Linked DNA regions of Oryctolagus cuniculus. The protein of the gene in region 2 purifies or fractionates together with the protein of the main gene of each other region. This does not show direct contact. Links are inferred from orthologs where the notes say so. Each region holds a gene or a part of one and is shown on either strand. Other genes may lie near its edges. The genes, in order: PPFIA1, PPP2R1A and INTS11.

Evidence for each region.
Region 1: the proteins of PPP2R1A (region 2) and PPFIA1 purify together in Homo sapiens (affinity purification with mass spectrometry; 7 studies listed by BioGRID and IntAct, with this or other methods). This does not show direct contact. The link is inferred for Oryctolagus cuniculus from reciprocal best matches to the Homo sapiens genes PPP2R1A and PPFIA1.
Region 3: the proteins of PPP2R1A (region 2) and INTS11 purify together in Homo sapiens (affinity purification with mass spectrometry; 3 studies listed by BioGRID and IntAct, with this or other methods). This does not show direct contact. The link is inferred for Oryctolagus cuniculus from reciprocal best matches to the Homo sapiens genes PPP2R1A and INTS11.

The regions. Positions count from the first base shown.
Region 1 is NC_091432.1:2,274,490-2,279,749, forward strand, and holds part of PPFIA1 (liprin-alpha-1), read left to right. Parts: intron 1-587; coding exon 588-662; intron 663-997; coding exon 998-1,099; intron 1,100-1,257; coding exon 1,258-1,479; intron 1,480-5,043; coding exon 5,044-5,190; intron 5,191-5,260. UniProt on the Homo sapiens protein: May regulate the disassembly of focal adhesions. May localize receptor-like tyrosine phosphatases type 2A at specific sites on the plasma membrane, possibly regulating their interaction with the extracellular environment and their association with substrates.
Region 2 is NC_091449.1:6,440,224-6,445,483, forward strand, and holds part of PPP2R1A (serine/threonine-protein phosphatase 2A 65 kDa regulatory subunit A alpha isoform), read left to right. Parts: intron 1-2,041; coding exon 2,042-2,156; coding exon of another isoform or gene 2,157-2,189; intron 2,190-2,266; coding exon 2,267-2,337; intron 2,338-2,727; coding exon of another isoform or gene 2,728-2,756; coding exon 2,757-2,891; intron 2,892-4,510; coding exon 4,511-4,684; intron 4,685-4,961; coding exon 4,962-5,022; intron 5,023-5,260. UniProt on the Homo sapiens protein: The PR65 subunit of protein phosphatase 2A serves as a scaffolding molecule to coordinate the assembly of the catalytic subunit and a variable regulatory B subunit.
Region 3 is NC_091438.1:164,190,901-164,196,032, forward strand, and holds the end of INTS11 (integrator complex subunit 11), read left to right. Parts: intron 1-10; coding exon 11-45; intron 46-215; coding exon 216-354; intron 355-563; coding exon 564-628; intron 629-1,055; coding exon 1,056-1,245; intron 1,246-1,377; coding exon 1,378-1,461; intron 1,462-1,673; coding exon 1,674-1,763; intron 1,764-1,834; coding exon 1,835-1,997; intron 1,998-2,304; coding exon 2,305-2,412; intron 2,413-2,686; coding exon 2,687-2,748; intron 2,749-2,814; coding exon 2,815-2,957; intron 2,958-3,171; coding exon 3,172-3,301; intron 3,302-3,390; coding exon 3,391-3,456; downstream 3,457-5,132. Other genes in the region: PUSL1 (tRNA pseudouridine synthase-like 1), read right to left, coding at 3,425-3,856, 4,223-4,277, 4,605-4,775, 4,846-4,995, 5,076-5,132.

The DNA.
Region 1 (5,260 bases), on a different chromosome or scaffold from region 2:
CGAAAAGTACTTGTTGGCATAAATGTAAACCTGATCGATTCTGTATATTGATTTGCTGTTAAGATTGAATGATACCATTTATTTAGGGGGAAGATTTTTCTCAAACTTAAAGCCATTAACAAGGAAGTTTTTTTTTTTTTTTAAGATTTATTTATTTAATTGAAAGAGTTACACAGAGAACGAGAGGCAGAGAGAGAGAGAGGTCTTCCATCCGCTGGTTCACTCCCCAATTGGCCTCAACAGCTGGAGCTGTGCCGATCTGAAGCCAGGAGCCAGGAGCTTCCTCTGGGTCTCCCACGCGGGTGCAGGGGCCCGAGGACTTCGGCCATCTTCCACAGGCCACAGCAGAGAGCTGATGTGGAAGAGGAGCAGCCGGGACTGGAACTGGTACCCATATGGGATGCCGGCACTGCAGGTGGCAGCTTTACCCCTATGTCACCATGCTGGCCCCAACAAAAAAGTATTCTTAGCAGTATTATCAATGAGAGACATGAAAGGTATTCTGTTGTTACGCTGTGCTGATGTTGGGATAACTGTGTATGAAGATCATGGTGACTCCGTACAGACTCGGTGCTGCTTGTTTTCAGGTGAGAGAGCGGCTGCGAGTGGCACTTGAGCGGTGCAGTTTGTTAGAGGAAGAACTAGGAGCCACACACAAGGAGGTGAGCCTGAGAGTCTTCTGTGACTGGAGTGGAAGCTTCCATTCTCATGTCTGCCTTTGCGGAGCGAGCGAGTGAGGACCGCAAAGTGGCCTTTCCTCTCTGTCGAGGCGCGGGCTAGCCGGGTCATCTGGAGGCAGAGCCCCCAGTGCCATTTTGCTGTATGTAAACGAGCCCGTTTTTATTCATCTGTTACGTTCAGGACGCGTTACATTGCCACAGGCTTTCTTCTGTGTTTATCAGTTTATAGCTGTGTTTTTCCAGAAGAAGTGTTTCTGTCTCTACTTAGTTGTTTGCTGTAAGATATTTTACTCTCTCATTCAATGTTTTGATTTTAGCTAATGATTCTTAAAGAACAGAATAACCAGAAAAAAACAGTAGCAGAGGGAGTGCCGGACGTGAACCACGAGCAAGAGGACGTGCCGCACACAAACGGAAAGGCAAGTCCGCACGCCAGGTTCACCATCCCTGGGCGGGGCTGTCTGGAGAGCGCCTGCTGCATGCGCAGTCACGCAGCTCGCACACACGTGCTCTGTGCTTGCACCTGCCTGTCTCGTGGCGCCCGTCGAGGATGCTGATGCTGTCCCTTTCCCGCCAGAGGTCTTCGGACGGCTCTCTGAGCCACGAGGAGGACCTGGCGAAGGTGCTGGAGCTCCAGGAGGTCATCGACAGGCAGTCGAGAGAGCAGAGCCAGATGAAGGAGCGCCTGGCCGCCCTGTGCACCCACGTGGCCGAGCTGGAGGACGACCTGGACACGGCCAGGAAGGACCTCATCAAGTCCGAGGAGACCAACACCAAGCTGCAGCGAGACGTCCGTGAAGTGAGTGACGGCAGGCGCTGCCGTGGTGGGGTGCATGGGCTGTGTAGGGGAGTAGATCGTGTGGCTCCTTTTTGTCCGTCCTCTCCCAGTTGCTTTCGAGCGTGGATGAGCGTGTAAATAGCAGGGAGTGCTGAGGGACTCTCGGGCCACTGCCCCAGCTCACCCCCAAACGCCGCCCGCGTCCTGCGGCTGCGGGCGGACAGCTGGTGTCATTGTGTCTTCATTACGTTCAGATGCTCTCCTGATGCACACTTAGCTAGAGGTCAGAGTCGGCATTGGGTGTGCTGTAGGTGCACTTCAGGGGACTCCCTGACCCCAGCAGCACGGCCAGCCCTCTGCATCTGGGCGTCCCACATCTGCAGATTCAGCCAGCTGCATTTGTACTGACCATGTACTGACTTCTCCTCACTACCTAAACACTGCAGCCCAACAACTGTGTACACAGCAGGAACACTGTGTGAGTGGTTGTGAGTCATCTGCATGAGTTAGAAGTGGGAGGGTATGCGTAGGTTCTGTGCAGACATTGCACCATCTCAGATGAGGGACTTGAGCGTCTGTGCATGTTGGTTTCCGTGGATATCTGTACCCTACAGATACAAGGGACGACTGTGAGTGTGAGGGTGCATATCGGGTGTCAAGTGAACAGTGAGAGTACAGTGGGACGACTGAGTGTGAGGGTGGAAATCAGATGTCAGGTGAACAGTGAGAGCAGTGGGACGACTGAGTGTGAGGGAGGGTGTCAGGTGTCAGGTGAACAGTGAGGGTGCAGTGGGACGACTGAGTGTGAGGGTGGGTGTCAGGTGAACAGTGAGTGCAGTGGGATGATTGTGACTGGGAGGGTGGGTATCAGGTGAGCAGTGAGTGTAGTGGGACGACTGTGAGTGTGAGGGTGGGTGTCAGGTGTCAGGTGAACGGTGAGGGTGCAGTGGGATGACTGAGTGTGAGGGTGGGTGTCAGGTGTCAGGTGAACAGTGAGTGCAGTGGGATGACTGAGTGTGAGGGTGGGTGTCAGGTATCAGGTGAACAGTGAGTGTAGTGGGATGACTGAGTGTGAGGGTGGGTGTCAGGTGAACAGTGAGGGTGCAGTGGGATGACTGAGTGTGAAGGTGGGTATCAGGTGTCAGGTGAACAGTGAGTGCAGTGGGACGACTGACTGTGAGGGTGGGTGTCAGGTGAACAGTGAGTGTAGTGGGACGACTGTGAGTGTGAGGGTTGGGTATCAGGTGTCAGGTGAACAGTGAGTGCAGTGGGACGACTGAGTGTGAGGTTTGGGTGTCGGGTGAACAGTGTAGTGGGACGACTGAGTGTGAGGGTGGGTATCGGGTGTCAGGTGAACAGTGAGTGTGTGGGACGACTGAGTGTGAGGGTGGGTATCGGGTGTCAGGTGAACAGTGAGGGTGCAGTGGGACAACTGAGTGTGAGGGTGGGTATCGGGTGTCAGGTGAACAGTGAGGGTGCAGTGGGATGACTGTGAGTGTGAGGGTGGGTATCGGGTGTCTGGTGAACCATGGGGTTCAAGGGGATGACTGAGTATTATTGTTGGGTATCGGATAGCAGGTGAACAGTGCGGGTGCAGGGGGATGACTGTGAGTATTAGGGTTGGGGGTCAGTATTCAGGTGAGTAATGAATGTGGGATTTTCTTACACTTGAGTTATCAATATATAAACCATTAAATTTTGCATTTTTGAAGAACCTTTTTGCTTGGTAACTATTTGCTGGGAACTCTGTCATTGTTTTTATGAGAAGCAAATGAGAGCTGGCTACTTTCTCTGGTAACTTTAAAAGAAATTGAGATGCAGACAGACAGAATGAGAGGCAGAGCTCTCATATGCTGGTTACTCCCCCAAGTACTGTGATGGCCTTGGCCAAAGCCAGGAGCCTGGAACTCCACCAGGTCTCCCGTGTGGGTGGCAGGATCCCAGTCACTTGAACTCTTACCACTGCCTCTCAGGGTCTGCGTTAGCAGGAAGCTGGAGCTGGAGCCAGAGCCCGGAACCAAGCCCAGGCCTCTCGACCACCAGGCTGCACGCCCGCGTTGAGTCGCTCTGCTCTGGCCTTCGCCCGCCCCGAGACTCTGCACTTGACACAGAAGCTGAGCAGGTGCACGGCTGCACTTCAGTTTGCTGGCTTCCTGTGCGCAGTGTGAGAATGGAGAGGCAGGATGAACATCTGCTGGCTACATGACCTGGGTTATGTTACTTGGCTGCTGTGGGAGATTATTTGTGTGGCAAACAGTCCTGAATTCTTTTAAAACCAGTTGCTTTCAGGGGTAGGCATTTGGCATAGCGGTGGAGATGCCCGTATGCCACATCCGAGTGCCCGAGTTCCGAACCACCTGCGGCTCCTCATTCCAGCTTCCCACCAGGGCAGGCTCTGGAGGTGGCAGTGCTGGCTCAAGGAGTGAACTCCTGGTCACCCGCGTGGGAGATCTGGATTAGGTTCCTGGCTACTGGTGTGGATCTGCCCCTGCCCCAGCCGTCACAGGCACGTGGGGCTGAACCAGCGGACGGGAGCCTGCTCGCTGATACGTGCTCGCGTGCGCGCTCTCTCTCTCTCTCATAATTAAAGTCTGTTCATTTCAGTATTAAGACCTTAGTAACATTAGTGCTTTAGTAAATAGAGACATTCCTAAGAACAGTGGGATTCTGGGTGGAGGACAGATTTGCTGGTACAGAAGCGTGTAAATGTTGGGCACTGTGTGGGGTCAGTTTTTTTTTTTTTTTAATCTTTATTTTTTTATTTTTTTTTTTGACAAGCAGAGTGGACAGCGAGAGAGAGAGAGAGAAAGGTCTTCCTTTTGCCATTGGTTCACCCTCCAATGGCCGCCGCAGCCGGCGCGCTGCGGCCAGCGCACTGCGCTGATCCGATGGCAGGAGCCAGGTACTTATCCTGGTCTCCCATGGGGGGTGCAGGGCCCAAGCACCTGGGCCATCCTCCACTGCACTCCCTGGCCACAGCAGAGAGCTGGCCTGGAAGAGGGGCAACCGGGACAGAATCCGGCACCCCAACCGGGACTAGAACCCGGTGTGCTGGCACCGCAAGGCGGAGGATTAGCCTAGTGAGCCGCGGCGCCTGCCCGAGGTCAGTTTTGCTATGAATTTTAGTAGCTGGGTCTAAGTTGAATTTCGACTTCTGGTCCATTTGTTAATGTGCTTGAGTTCTGTGATTGTGTGCGATTTCGTCTGTCGAGAGGCCCACGTGCCCGTGTCAGCCATCTGGGACTAGCCTGCTTCCTCATCGCATCTTCCTTTTCCTCCTGAATTCTGGCCGTGCTGCAGAGTTGCATCGTTTGGATTTTTGTAATATCTTGTCACAAAGGATAAGCTTGATAACCAAATGTTCAGACAGATCTCTGCTGGTCGTACACGTGGGTATTTATATTTTAGGTTGGGTTTTTTTTAACCAGCATTTGAGAAAATTGGCATCTCTGTCACTTTAATTTTGTGGATGTTAATTTTATATGTAATTTGAAATCTAGAGTTAGTCCAGTTTTTTCCTTTCAGGTATATTAATGTTAGATATTTATTTTCTACCTTTTTTCCCCTCTGAAATACCTCATTTAGGCCATGGCCCAAAAGGAAGACATGGAAGAGAGAATCACGACTCTGGAGAAGCGCTACCTCGCGGCGCAGCGTGAAGCCACATCTGTGCACGACCTCAACGATAAACTTGAAAATGAGATTGCAAATAAAGATTCCATGCATCGACAGGTGACGGGTTCCACAGACCTTTGTCTGGCTTTAATGAATTTTAGTCAAGTGAAAGACCTTTTTCCCGGGC
Region 2 (5,260 bases):
AGCCAGGACTCTAGCCAGCACCTATATGGGATACCAGCACTGCAGATGGTGGCTTAACCTGCTACACCATAACACCGACCTCACTTTTCCTCCTCTTACAAAAGAGAGTCTCTGACTCTCCCAGGGCAGTGCTCAAACATGTTTGGGGAGCAGCAGGTCTTTGAGCTCTGAGGGGTGCAGTGAATTCACCACATTCCTGGCCTTCAGGGGCAGGTGTTATACAGGGGAAGGTCAACTCAAGGGAACTTTATTAGTAAAGTGGGGGCCGGTTCTGTGGTGCAGCTGGTAAAGCTGCCACCTACAGTGCCGGCATCCCACATGGGCGCTGGTTCGAGTCCTGACTGCTCCACTTCCGATCCAGCTTCCGCTATGGCCTGGGAAAGCAGTAGAAGATGGCCCAAGTGCTTGGGCCCCTGCACCCTCATATGGAATTTTCCACTTGTATCACATTGTGCTCAAAAAGCTTTGAATTTTGGAACATTCTGGATTTTGGGATTAGAGTTATTCAACTTAACTTGTGCTTCTGTTAACTGATCTTAAAAAAATAGAAACAAATATAAATCAAAAAGTAAGGGAGTAGGAATTGTGGCTCAGCAGGTTAAGCCACTGCTTGGGATGCCTGCTTCCATAACAGAGGACCTAGTTCAACTCCTGGCTACTCTGTGCTTCTGATCTAGCTTCCCGCTACCTGGCAGGTAGCAGATGATAGCCCAAGGACTTGGGTCCCTGCCACCCATGTGGAGACTTGGATGGAGTTCCTGGCTTTGTCCTGTCCAAACCCCAGCTCTTGGGGACATCTGGATGAGCCAACAGATGAAAGATCTCTTTCTCCCTCTCTGTGTGTGTCTGTTACTCTTCTTCTCAAATAAGTCTTTTAAAAAAAGAATCCACAGTATCATTAGAACTTTTTTTTTTTTTAATCCACTAACAGAAAACCCAGCCCACAATAGCTTGAACAATGAGATCTGTTGTTATTTGTAAGGAAAACTACCCTGAGGAAGGCGCAGCTCTCATTTTGCTTCCAAGGAAGCTGAGACGCAGACCGTTGCCTGAGGTCACACCACAGCACTGCGTTAGCTCCCAGGGATGACCCCAGGGCCCCTCCCCTGCTCTCTGCTCCACCTGTCTACACTTCTCAGGGGTGACCCAGGGCCCCTCCCCTGCTCTCTGATCCACCTGTCCACACTTCTCAGGGGTGACCCAGGGCCCCTCCCCTGCTCTCTGCTCCACCTGTCCACACTTCTCAGGGGTGACCCAGGGCCCCTCCCCTGCTCTCTGCTCCACCTGTCCACACTTCTCAGGGGTGACCCAGGGCCCCTCCCCTGCTCTCTGATCCATCTGTCTACACTTCTCAGGGGTGACCCAGGGCCCCTCCCCTGCTCTCTGCTCCACCTGTCTACACTTCTCAGGGGTGACCCAGGGCCCCTCCCCTGCTCTCTGCTCCACCTGTCTACACTTCTCAGGAGTGACCCAGGGCCCCTCCCCTGCTCTCTGCTCCACCTGTCTACACTTCTCAGGGGTGACCCAGGGCCCCTCCTCTGTTCTCTGCTCCACCTGTCTACACTTCTCAGGGGTGACCCAGGGCCCCTCCCCTGCTCTCTGCTCCACCTGTCTACACTTCTCAGGGGTGACCCAGGGCCCCTCCCCTGCTCTCTGCTCCACCTGTCTACACTTCTCAGGGGTGACCCAGGGCCCCTCCCCTGCTCTCTGCCCCACCTGTCTACACTTCTCAGGAGTGACCCAGGGCCCCTCCCCTGCTCTCTGCTCCACCTGTCTACACTTCTCAGGGGTGACCCCAGGGCCCCTCCCCTGCTCTCTACTCCACCTGTCTACACTTCTCAGGGGTGACCCAGGGCCCCTCCCCTGCTCTCTGCTCCACCTGTCTACACTTCTCAGGGGTGACCCAGGGCCCCTCCCCTGTTCTCTGATCCACCTGTCTGCACTTCTCAGGGTGACCCCAGGGCCCCTCCCCTGCTATCTGACCCCCATGCCTTTAACTGACTTGACCTCTCACACTCCCCATCTCCCTTCTCCTGTGCAGCTCCAGAAAGCAGTGGGGCCTGAGATCACCAAGACAGACCTGGTCCCTGCCTTCCAGAACTTGATGAAGGACTGTGAGGCCGAGGTGAGGGCCGCAGCCTCCCACAAGGTCAAAGGTTGGTGCTGGCGACCAGAACACAGCAAGTCGGGTGGGTATCTGAGGGACTGCACGTGGACTAGGCCATTGGGTCTCATCCCACCCTCCCCCTTCCTTCTCCCCACCCAGAGTTCTGTGAAAATCTCTCCACCGACTGTCGGGAGAATGTGATCATGACCCAGATTTTGCCCTGCATCAAGGTAACGGAGAGTTGGGGACGAATGGAGCAGGTCTGAGCCTACCAAGAAGAGGGGGTGGTGTCAGGAGGCTTGGGGACATCCAGAAGCAAACTGGGTTCCAGCCTTTGGGACCAGGCAGTCCTTGGTTTGAAGCCACTGAGGTCTTGATTGCAGGCAAAATCTGAGGCTTGGGGTTGACTTGGAGGTCTCGGAGTCCCCTTACCCATAGAACTGTTGGATTGGGGTGAGGGCTGCTAGCAGCAGGAACCATCAAACTCTGAGTCAGTGGGACATTTGAGGAACTGAATGTCCCCCAGAGTCAGCTCACCCTGCTCTGAGTGACAGGGCAAGAGCAAGCTGTTGTCTGAGGCTTCCTACAAGTTGATGTGCGTTTGGCGTGTGGTGCTTCAGAGATCGCCCTGACCCCTTCTTCCTCGCAGGAGCTGGTGTCAGACGCCAACCAGCACGTCAAGTCAGCGCTGGCCTCGGTCATCATGGGCCTCTCGCCCATCCTGGGCAAGGACAACACCATCGAGCACCTCCTGCCCCTCTTCCTGGCCCAGCTGAAGGATGAGGTAAGGGTGCAGGCGGGACCTCGGCTCCGGGTTTGCAGAAGGGACGGGAGGGCCAGCTGCTTGCTCACATCAGCTGGGATTCTCCTAGAATCGCAACAGACCCCCAGAGCTTTGCTCAGCTGATGAGTGTACAACCGTGTACACAGAGGTCACTCACTTGTCAGCATTATTTTGTGTCCTCAGCTCTGTGCTGCTCCTTATCTTGGGCATTAGGAATATGAGAAAAAGAATGAAATATTCTTACTATGTATTTTAAAAAAGAATAAAAATCTGAAGAAAAGAATCCTCAGAGACTAGCAGTGGAGCGTGCCGATGGATGGTTGCAGGGTTCCATGAAGGTGCTGTAGGTGCTGTGAGGACCACAGTGCCGTACTCGGGGTCTCGGGATTCAGTGTCCTAAATAAAACCGAAGATTGCTCTTCACAGCAGTCCAGGTGGCCCTACACTAGTGGATTAACCCTGGCAACCTCAAGTCCCTGTGTCTGCGGTGACTGCCCTAGTGTTTTACTGTCCCCCAGGCCCCAGGAAAGGCAAAGGCAGCACACAGTGGCCGGCCACTCCTCTTGAGAACAAGGCCCATCACGGCAGCTTATACCCCACATATCCCATGGGCCAGAGTTGGTCGCATGACCACACCTAGCTGTTCGGTTGGCCTGGACTACAGAGCATGAGAGGGTGCTGGGTGGTGACTGGGGAGTTTGGGCTTGAATTTAGGCAAGAAGAGGGGCTAGAACGGATCAGTGTTAGAAAGGACCACTGAGACTAAGAAGAGGTTGAGGCCGGCGCCGCAGCTTACTGGGCTAATCCTCCGCCTTGCGGCGCCGGCACACCAGGTTCTAGTCCCGGTCGGGGCGCCGGATTCTGTCCCAGTTGCCCCTCTTCCAGGCCAGCTCTCTGCTGTGGCCCGGGAGTGCAGTGGAGGATGGCCCAAGTCCTTTGGGCCCTGCACCCCATGGGAGACCAGGATAAGTACCTGGCTCCTGCCATTGGATCAGCGTGGTGCGCCAACGGCAGCGTGCCGGCCGCGGCGGCCATTGGAGGGTGAACCAACGGCAAAGGAAGATGTTTCTCTCTGTCTCTCTCTCTCACTGTCCACTCTGCCTGTCAAAAAATAAAAATAAATAAATAAATAAATAAATAAATAAAATGAAAAAATAAAATAAAAAAGAAGAGGTTGAAGTAAGGCTGCCGTAGCATTCTAGGTGGAGGAGGAAGGCTGCCGACTAGCTTATTTGACTTCCCTGTTTTTATTTTTTATTTGCGAGAGAGCTGTCATATCCACTGGCTCACTCCCCAGTGCTCGCAGTAGCCAGTATCAGGCCTGACCAGAGTCAGGAATTCAGTACAGATCTCCCAGATGGGTGGCAGGAACCCAGTTAGTTAAGCTATCACCCCAGCCTTGCAGGGTCCGCTTTAGCAGGAAGTTGGAGTCAGGAACCAAAGGTGAGCATCAGGCTCGGGCACTTTGATCCAGGATGTGGGGCTTTTAATCACCAGGTCACACGCCTGTCCCTACGGACCGTCTTCACCTCTGATGGAACACGTTGATGAGATTGTCCAGTTGTAGCCTTTGACACATACCCTGTGGCAGTCACTCACACAGAACCCTCCTGTCCTAGTGCCCTGAAGTGCGACTGAACATCATCTCCAACCTGGACTGCGTGAACGAGGTGATCGGCATCCGGCAGCTGTCCCAGTCCCTGCTGCCTGCCATCGTGGAGCTGGCTGAGGATGCCAAGTGGCGGGTGCGGCTGGCCATCATTGAGTACATGCCCCTGCTAGCTGGGCAGCTGGTGAGTACGCAGGCCTGGGCCCAGGTGGCGCTGCCCAGGGGAGGGCTCCGTGCCGTGTGTCCATACAGCCAGGGCAGTCCATGACAGCCGCCCAGGAGTTGAAAGAAGAGATCCAGGATATAGGTTCTTAAAAGATGAGTAATAGGATTCAGTAAGAGACGGAAAGGGACGCCTCAGGTGGATTTGAGGGGCAATTGGTCTTTCTGAGGCAGGTATAGTTTGTTTGGAGTATCACTGGCAACTCTCCCTTGAGCCCTAACCTCCTGTTCTTCTGCAGGGAGTGGAGTTCTTTGATGAGAAACTCAACTCTCTGTGCATGGCCTGGCTCGTGGATCACGGTGAGTACCTCCTGGAAGACAGCAAAGTGGAGATAGGAGCTCCTAGAGGGTGGACCCCTTGGATGAGGTATTTGGGGCATCCGGAGTCCCTGCCCCGTGCCAAGGGGTGCTCCTGCGGCCCTGCTTTCTTGCTTATTAAAACAGTAGAGAAGTACAGAGTAGGGAGGGGATGTACTAGGTCACCTGGGGGGCTGCAGGTAGAGTGGCGAGCCACAGGGCCACCAGGCAGGCAGACTTG
Region 3 (5,132 bases), on a different chromosome or scaffold from region 2:
TTCCCCACAGGGCGACTATAACATGACCCCCGACCGGCATTTGGGGTGAGTCCCACATGTACCTCGCCCATCCTGGGGGTGAGGGTCCCGGCCCCTGCTCAGCGTGCGGATGTCCCCTGTGGGTCGTCCCCCCTGGGGACTTGGGGCCTAGGTGCTTGAAGGCCCGAGGCCCAGTCGCTCGGGCCCGTGCAGTGCTGGACGTCCGTCTGTTCCAGAGCTGCCTGGATCGATAAGTGCCGCCCGGACCTGCTCATCACGGAGTCCACCTACGCCACCACCATCCGCGACTCCAAGCGCTGCCGTGAGCGGGACTTCCTCAAGAAGGTCCACGAGACCGTGGAGCGGGGCGGCAAGGTAGCCGCCGTCCGGCCAGCTGCCCGGGCCACGTGCTCCGGGGGCGGCCGCTGGAGCCCTTCCCCGTGGTCCCCGGCGGGGGGTCGGGGGCACTGCACACCCTCGCACGGGCAGGGCTGCCTGGCCCCGCTGGGAGCAGGCTCCAGCCGTAGGACCGGCTGTGCCTTGCTGCTGGGTGGGAGCCCCGCCTGAGCGCCCCCGTCCTGCAGGTGCTGATCCCCGTGTTTGCGCTGGGCCGTGCGCAGGAGCTCTGCATTCTGCTGGAGACCTTCTGGTAGGTGGGCCAGGGCTCTCCCGGCTCCGCTGGCGTCTGCTTACTGTCGGGGCAGTGGGGGCTGCCCCAGTCCGGGGGCCCCGTGTTGTCCCCATACTGGCCATGTCAGGGCCCTCGTCAGCTCCAGCGCATCACAGGACACAGGCTGGGGCATCAGCCGGTGGTCACAGCAGCGGGACCGGGCTGGGGTGGCCACGGGTGTGGGGAGCGGCCCAGGCCTGCGATGGCTGTGCTGACCGGGCTGGGGTGGCCACGGGTGTGGGGAGCGGCCCAGGCCTGCGATGGCTGTGCTGACCGGGCTGGGGTGGCCACAGGTGTGGGGAGCGGCCCAGGCCTGCGATGACTGCGCTGACCGGGCTGGGAAGGCCCCGGGTGTGGGGAGTGGCTCAGGCCTGCGATGACTGCGCTGACCAGGCTGGGCCCACAGGGAGCGCATGAACCTGAAGGTGCCCATCTACTTCTCCACCGGGCTCACGGAGAAGGCGAACCACTACTACAAGCTCTTCATCACCTGGACCAACCAGAAGATCAGGAAGACCTTCGTGCACAGGAACATGTTTGAGTTCAAGCACATCAAGGCCTTCGACCGGGCGTTTGCCGACAACCCTGGGCCCATGGTACTGCCTCGCCGTCCACACACGGGCTCTGCGTCCCTCTCGGGGTGGGGGTCCCTGCTCGCGGGCGGGTCTGAGGCTGTGCCCGAGGGGCGACTGCTGCCTCACCCGCCCCCCACGCTGTCCGCCCTGCAGGTCGTGTTTGCCACGCCGGGCATGCTGCATGCCGGCCAGTCCCTGCAGATCTTCCGGAAGTGGGCAGGAAACGAGAAGAACATGGTGAGGGGCTGGGCCCAGGTCCAGCTCCGGGCGGCCCAGGCTGGGCAGAGGGGGCACAGGCATTCCCACAGGCCGGAAGGACGGTCCTCTCCACTGCCCCCACTGCTGCAGGGCGGCTGGGGCAGCTGGGGTTCAGCGCCCGTCAGGCAGGAAGGCCCTTGACTGCCGAGGCCTCCACGCGGTCAGCCTCCGGCCCCGCCCCCACCCCGCAGGTCATCATGCCTGGCTACTGCGTGCAGGGCACCGTGGGCCACAAGATCCTGAGCGGGCAGCGCAAGCTGGAGATGGAGGGGCGGCAGGTGGTGAGTCCCCCCCCCCCCGGGCTGGGCGCGGGCTGGGCGCAGGCGACTGAGCTCCGCCCGCGGCCCCGCAGCTGGAGGTGAGGATGCAGGTGGAGTACATGTCCTTCAGCGCCCACGCCGACGCCAAGGGCATCATGCAGCTGGTGGGGCAGGCGGAGCCGCGGCGCGTGCTGCTGGTGCACGGCGAGGCCAAGAAGATGGAGTTCCTCAAGCAGAAGATCGAGCAGGAGTTCCGTAGGCTGCGGGCGGGGCGGGGCCGGGGTGGGGCCGGGGGCGGGGGGGCTGGGGGGGCCCTGGGGGCTGAGGGGCTGGGGCCGGGGGCCAAGGGGCTGGGGAGGCCGGGGGCTGGGGGGGCCCGGGGGGGCTGAGGGGCTGGGGCCGAGGCTGAGGGGGCCGGGGAGGCCGGGGGGGGGCAAGGGGCGGGGCCGGGGGCGGGGGGGCGGAGGGCGCTGGGGGGGCCCGGGGGCGGGGGCGGGGCCGGGGGCTGTGCGGGAGGGCTGGCTGCTCTGCCTCAGGTTCTCTCTGCACTGCCCCCGGCCAGGAGTCAGCTGCTACATGCCCGCCAACGGCGAGACGGTGACGCTGCCCACAAGCCCCAGCATCCCTGTGAGCGTCTCCCTGGGACTGCTGAAGCGGGAGATGGCACAGGGTACGCGTGTGTGTGTGTGTGTGTGTGTGCAGGGGCACAGGGTGCACACGCGTGTGTGTGTGTGTGCAGGGGCACAGGGTACGTGTGTGTGTGTGTGCAGGGGCACAGGGTACGCACGCGTGTGTGTGTGCGCAGGGGCACAGGGCACCCGTGTGTGTGTGTGTGTGTGCAGGGGCACAGGGTACGTGTGTGTGTGTGTACGCACACGCAGGGTATGTGTGGGGGCACAGCAGAGCCAGGCCCACCAGCAGACCCTCCCCCCCCTCCCCCGCAGTGCCGCTCCCTGAGGCCAAGAAGCCGCGGCTGCTGCACGGCACCCTGATCATGAAGGAGGGGGTGAGTGAGCCCTGCGCGGGGCGGGGGGGGGGGGGGCTCCTCTGCGCTGACCCTCCCGTCCCGCAGAACTTCCGGCTCGTGTCCTCAGAGCAAGCCCTCAAGGAGCTGGGCCTGGCCGAGCACCAGCTGCGCTTCACCTGCCGCGTGCACCTGCACGACACGCGCAAAGAGCAGGAGACGGCGCTGCGCGTCTACAGCCACCTGAAGAGGTGCGCGCCGCCCCAGGCCGGGCCTCCGCACTGCGCCCTCGGACCCCTGCCCAGGCCCCGCCCCCACAGCCCCGCCCCCAGCGTCCTCAGAGACCCCTGCCTAGGCCCCGCCCTCACAGCCCCGCCCCCAGCGTCCTCGGAGACCCCTGCGTGCCGCCCCGCCCCTGCCGGGCCCCGCCCCCTGCGTGCCGCCCCTCACGGCCCCTCCCCGCAGCGTCCTCAGAGACCACTGCGTGCAGCACCTCCCCGACGGCTCGGTGACCGTCGAGTCCATCCTCATCCAGGCCGCCGCCCACTCCGAGGACCCCGGCACCAAGGTGCTGCTGGTGTCCTGGACCTACCAGGTGAGGGGGGGGTCTCCCGGGCAGCCCCTCCCCACCGCCGGCTCCGCCCTGGGGGCAGCGGCTGACCCCGCCTTCCCGCCTCCCCACAGGACGAGGAGCTGGGCAGCTACCTCACTGCCCTGCTCAAGAAAGGCCTGCCCCAGGCGCCCAGCTGACCCGCTGCTGCGGGGACCTGGGTGGACACAGCCCGCACCCAGCTGACCTGCTGCTGCGCCCGGATGGCGGGGGCCTGGGTGGACACAGCCCGCGCCCAGCTAACCCACTGCTGCGCCTGGACGGCGGGGGCCTGGGTGGACACAGCCCACGCCCAGGTTTGGTCCCACATCTGCTCAAGCGGCATTGCTGGCTGAAGACATGGACAGGTCGGCCTCCGGGGCCTCCTCGTCTTTTATTAACTCGACCTCTGGGCAGTTCAGTAAAGGCAGATGGAGCACGGGCGTGGCCTCCTTGTGCACGGTGGGGGGGCCGAGGGCATCGGGTCTCTGCTGGGTGCAGCAGCCAGGCTCCGGCTCTGGCCGGGCGTCCAGGGTCACCTGTGGTTCCCCGGGGCAGGACCTGTGGGACGGCCCGTGTCAGCTGGAGGCGGGTGTGGCCTGGGCCCTGACCACCACCCCTCCACTGCAGGCCGCGTGCTGCGAGCAGGGCTCCCCGCAGATGGCCTTACCCGGGTCTCCCAGGTCCCCGTACTGCACTGACTTCAGAAACAGACCGTGGGCCGGGACCACGCGAGCCTGGTGCTTGCCCAGCGGGTCCCGGCTGTCCAGAATCTCCTTCACCTGGGCGGGCGCCAGCGACCCCAGCCCCACTGCCACCAGCACGGCTGTCATCCTGCGTACCTGGGACCCGAAGCCAAGGCTGGCACTGGCGCTGCCCCCGCCCCGCGCCCCCTGGGGCAGGCACACCCCACCCACCCCGGCGCACCTGTCTGTACAGGAACGACTGGCTCTCAAACTCCAAGCTCCAGAAGCGCAGCCTCCTAGCCAGAGACGCTAGATGTCCAGGGCGGCCCCAGCTGACCACCAGCCCCCAAGTCAGCCAGGGCAAGAGGCTGACACCAGGCTGGGGTGCCTATGGGGCGGGCACTCCTGCCAGGATGCCCCTCCCCAACCTGGTGGGCTGTGGAGGCCCCTGGACAGTGCCAGGGGCAGTGGTGTCCACCCAGCTGGGCTGCACCAGGCCTCCAGCCCCAAGGAGGCCTTTCTGACAGCTGCCAGAATCCCCCCCCCAGAGAGCCCAGGTCGCTACACCAGAACAGCAGCCAGGCCCCGGGCCCGCCCTGACGCCCTGAGCCGCGGCTCCTCACCTGCTCTCCTGGGGGAGCGCGAAGGGGCTGGCGGGGGCGGGGGACACGGACACGCGGCGCAGCGTGCGCACTGGGCTGCCGGCCGGGCTGCCGGCCGACCGGAAGGCACTGAAGTCGTGCGTCCCGAGGAGGTGCTGGGCAGCCTCCTGCATGGCCGCCACGTCCAGGCGGCTGTGGGGAGCCGGGGTCAGCGGGGCGGGCCGGCCGCTGGGACCCGCCAGCCCCCCAGCCTGACACTCACTCCGCGCGCAGCGGCCAGCACAGGTTGCGTTCAAACACGGGCAGCTCAGCAAGCTGGCGGCAGCCGGTGGCCAGCCGGTACAGGTAGGTCCTGGACGTGGCAGCGTGGCGAGCGTGGAAGTCGCTGGGCACCAGCGAGGCCTGCAGGACCCTGTGGCACAGGTGGGGCCCCCTGGTCCGGCTGCCGTCTCGGCGTCCCGGGCACCCACCCCCGCGGGCGCCAGGGCTCACCTGATGGCCGGGTGCGTCAGGTGCCTGTTGAGCGCCTGGACAAGGGCTTCCGGCGCC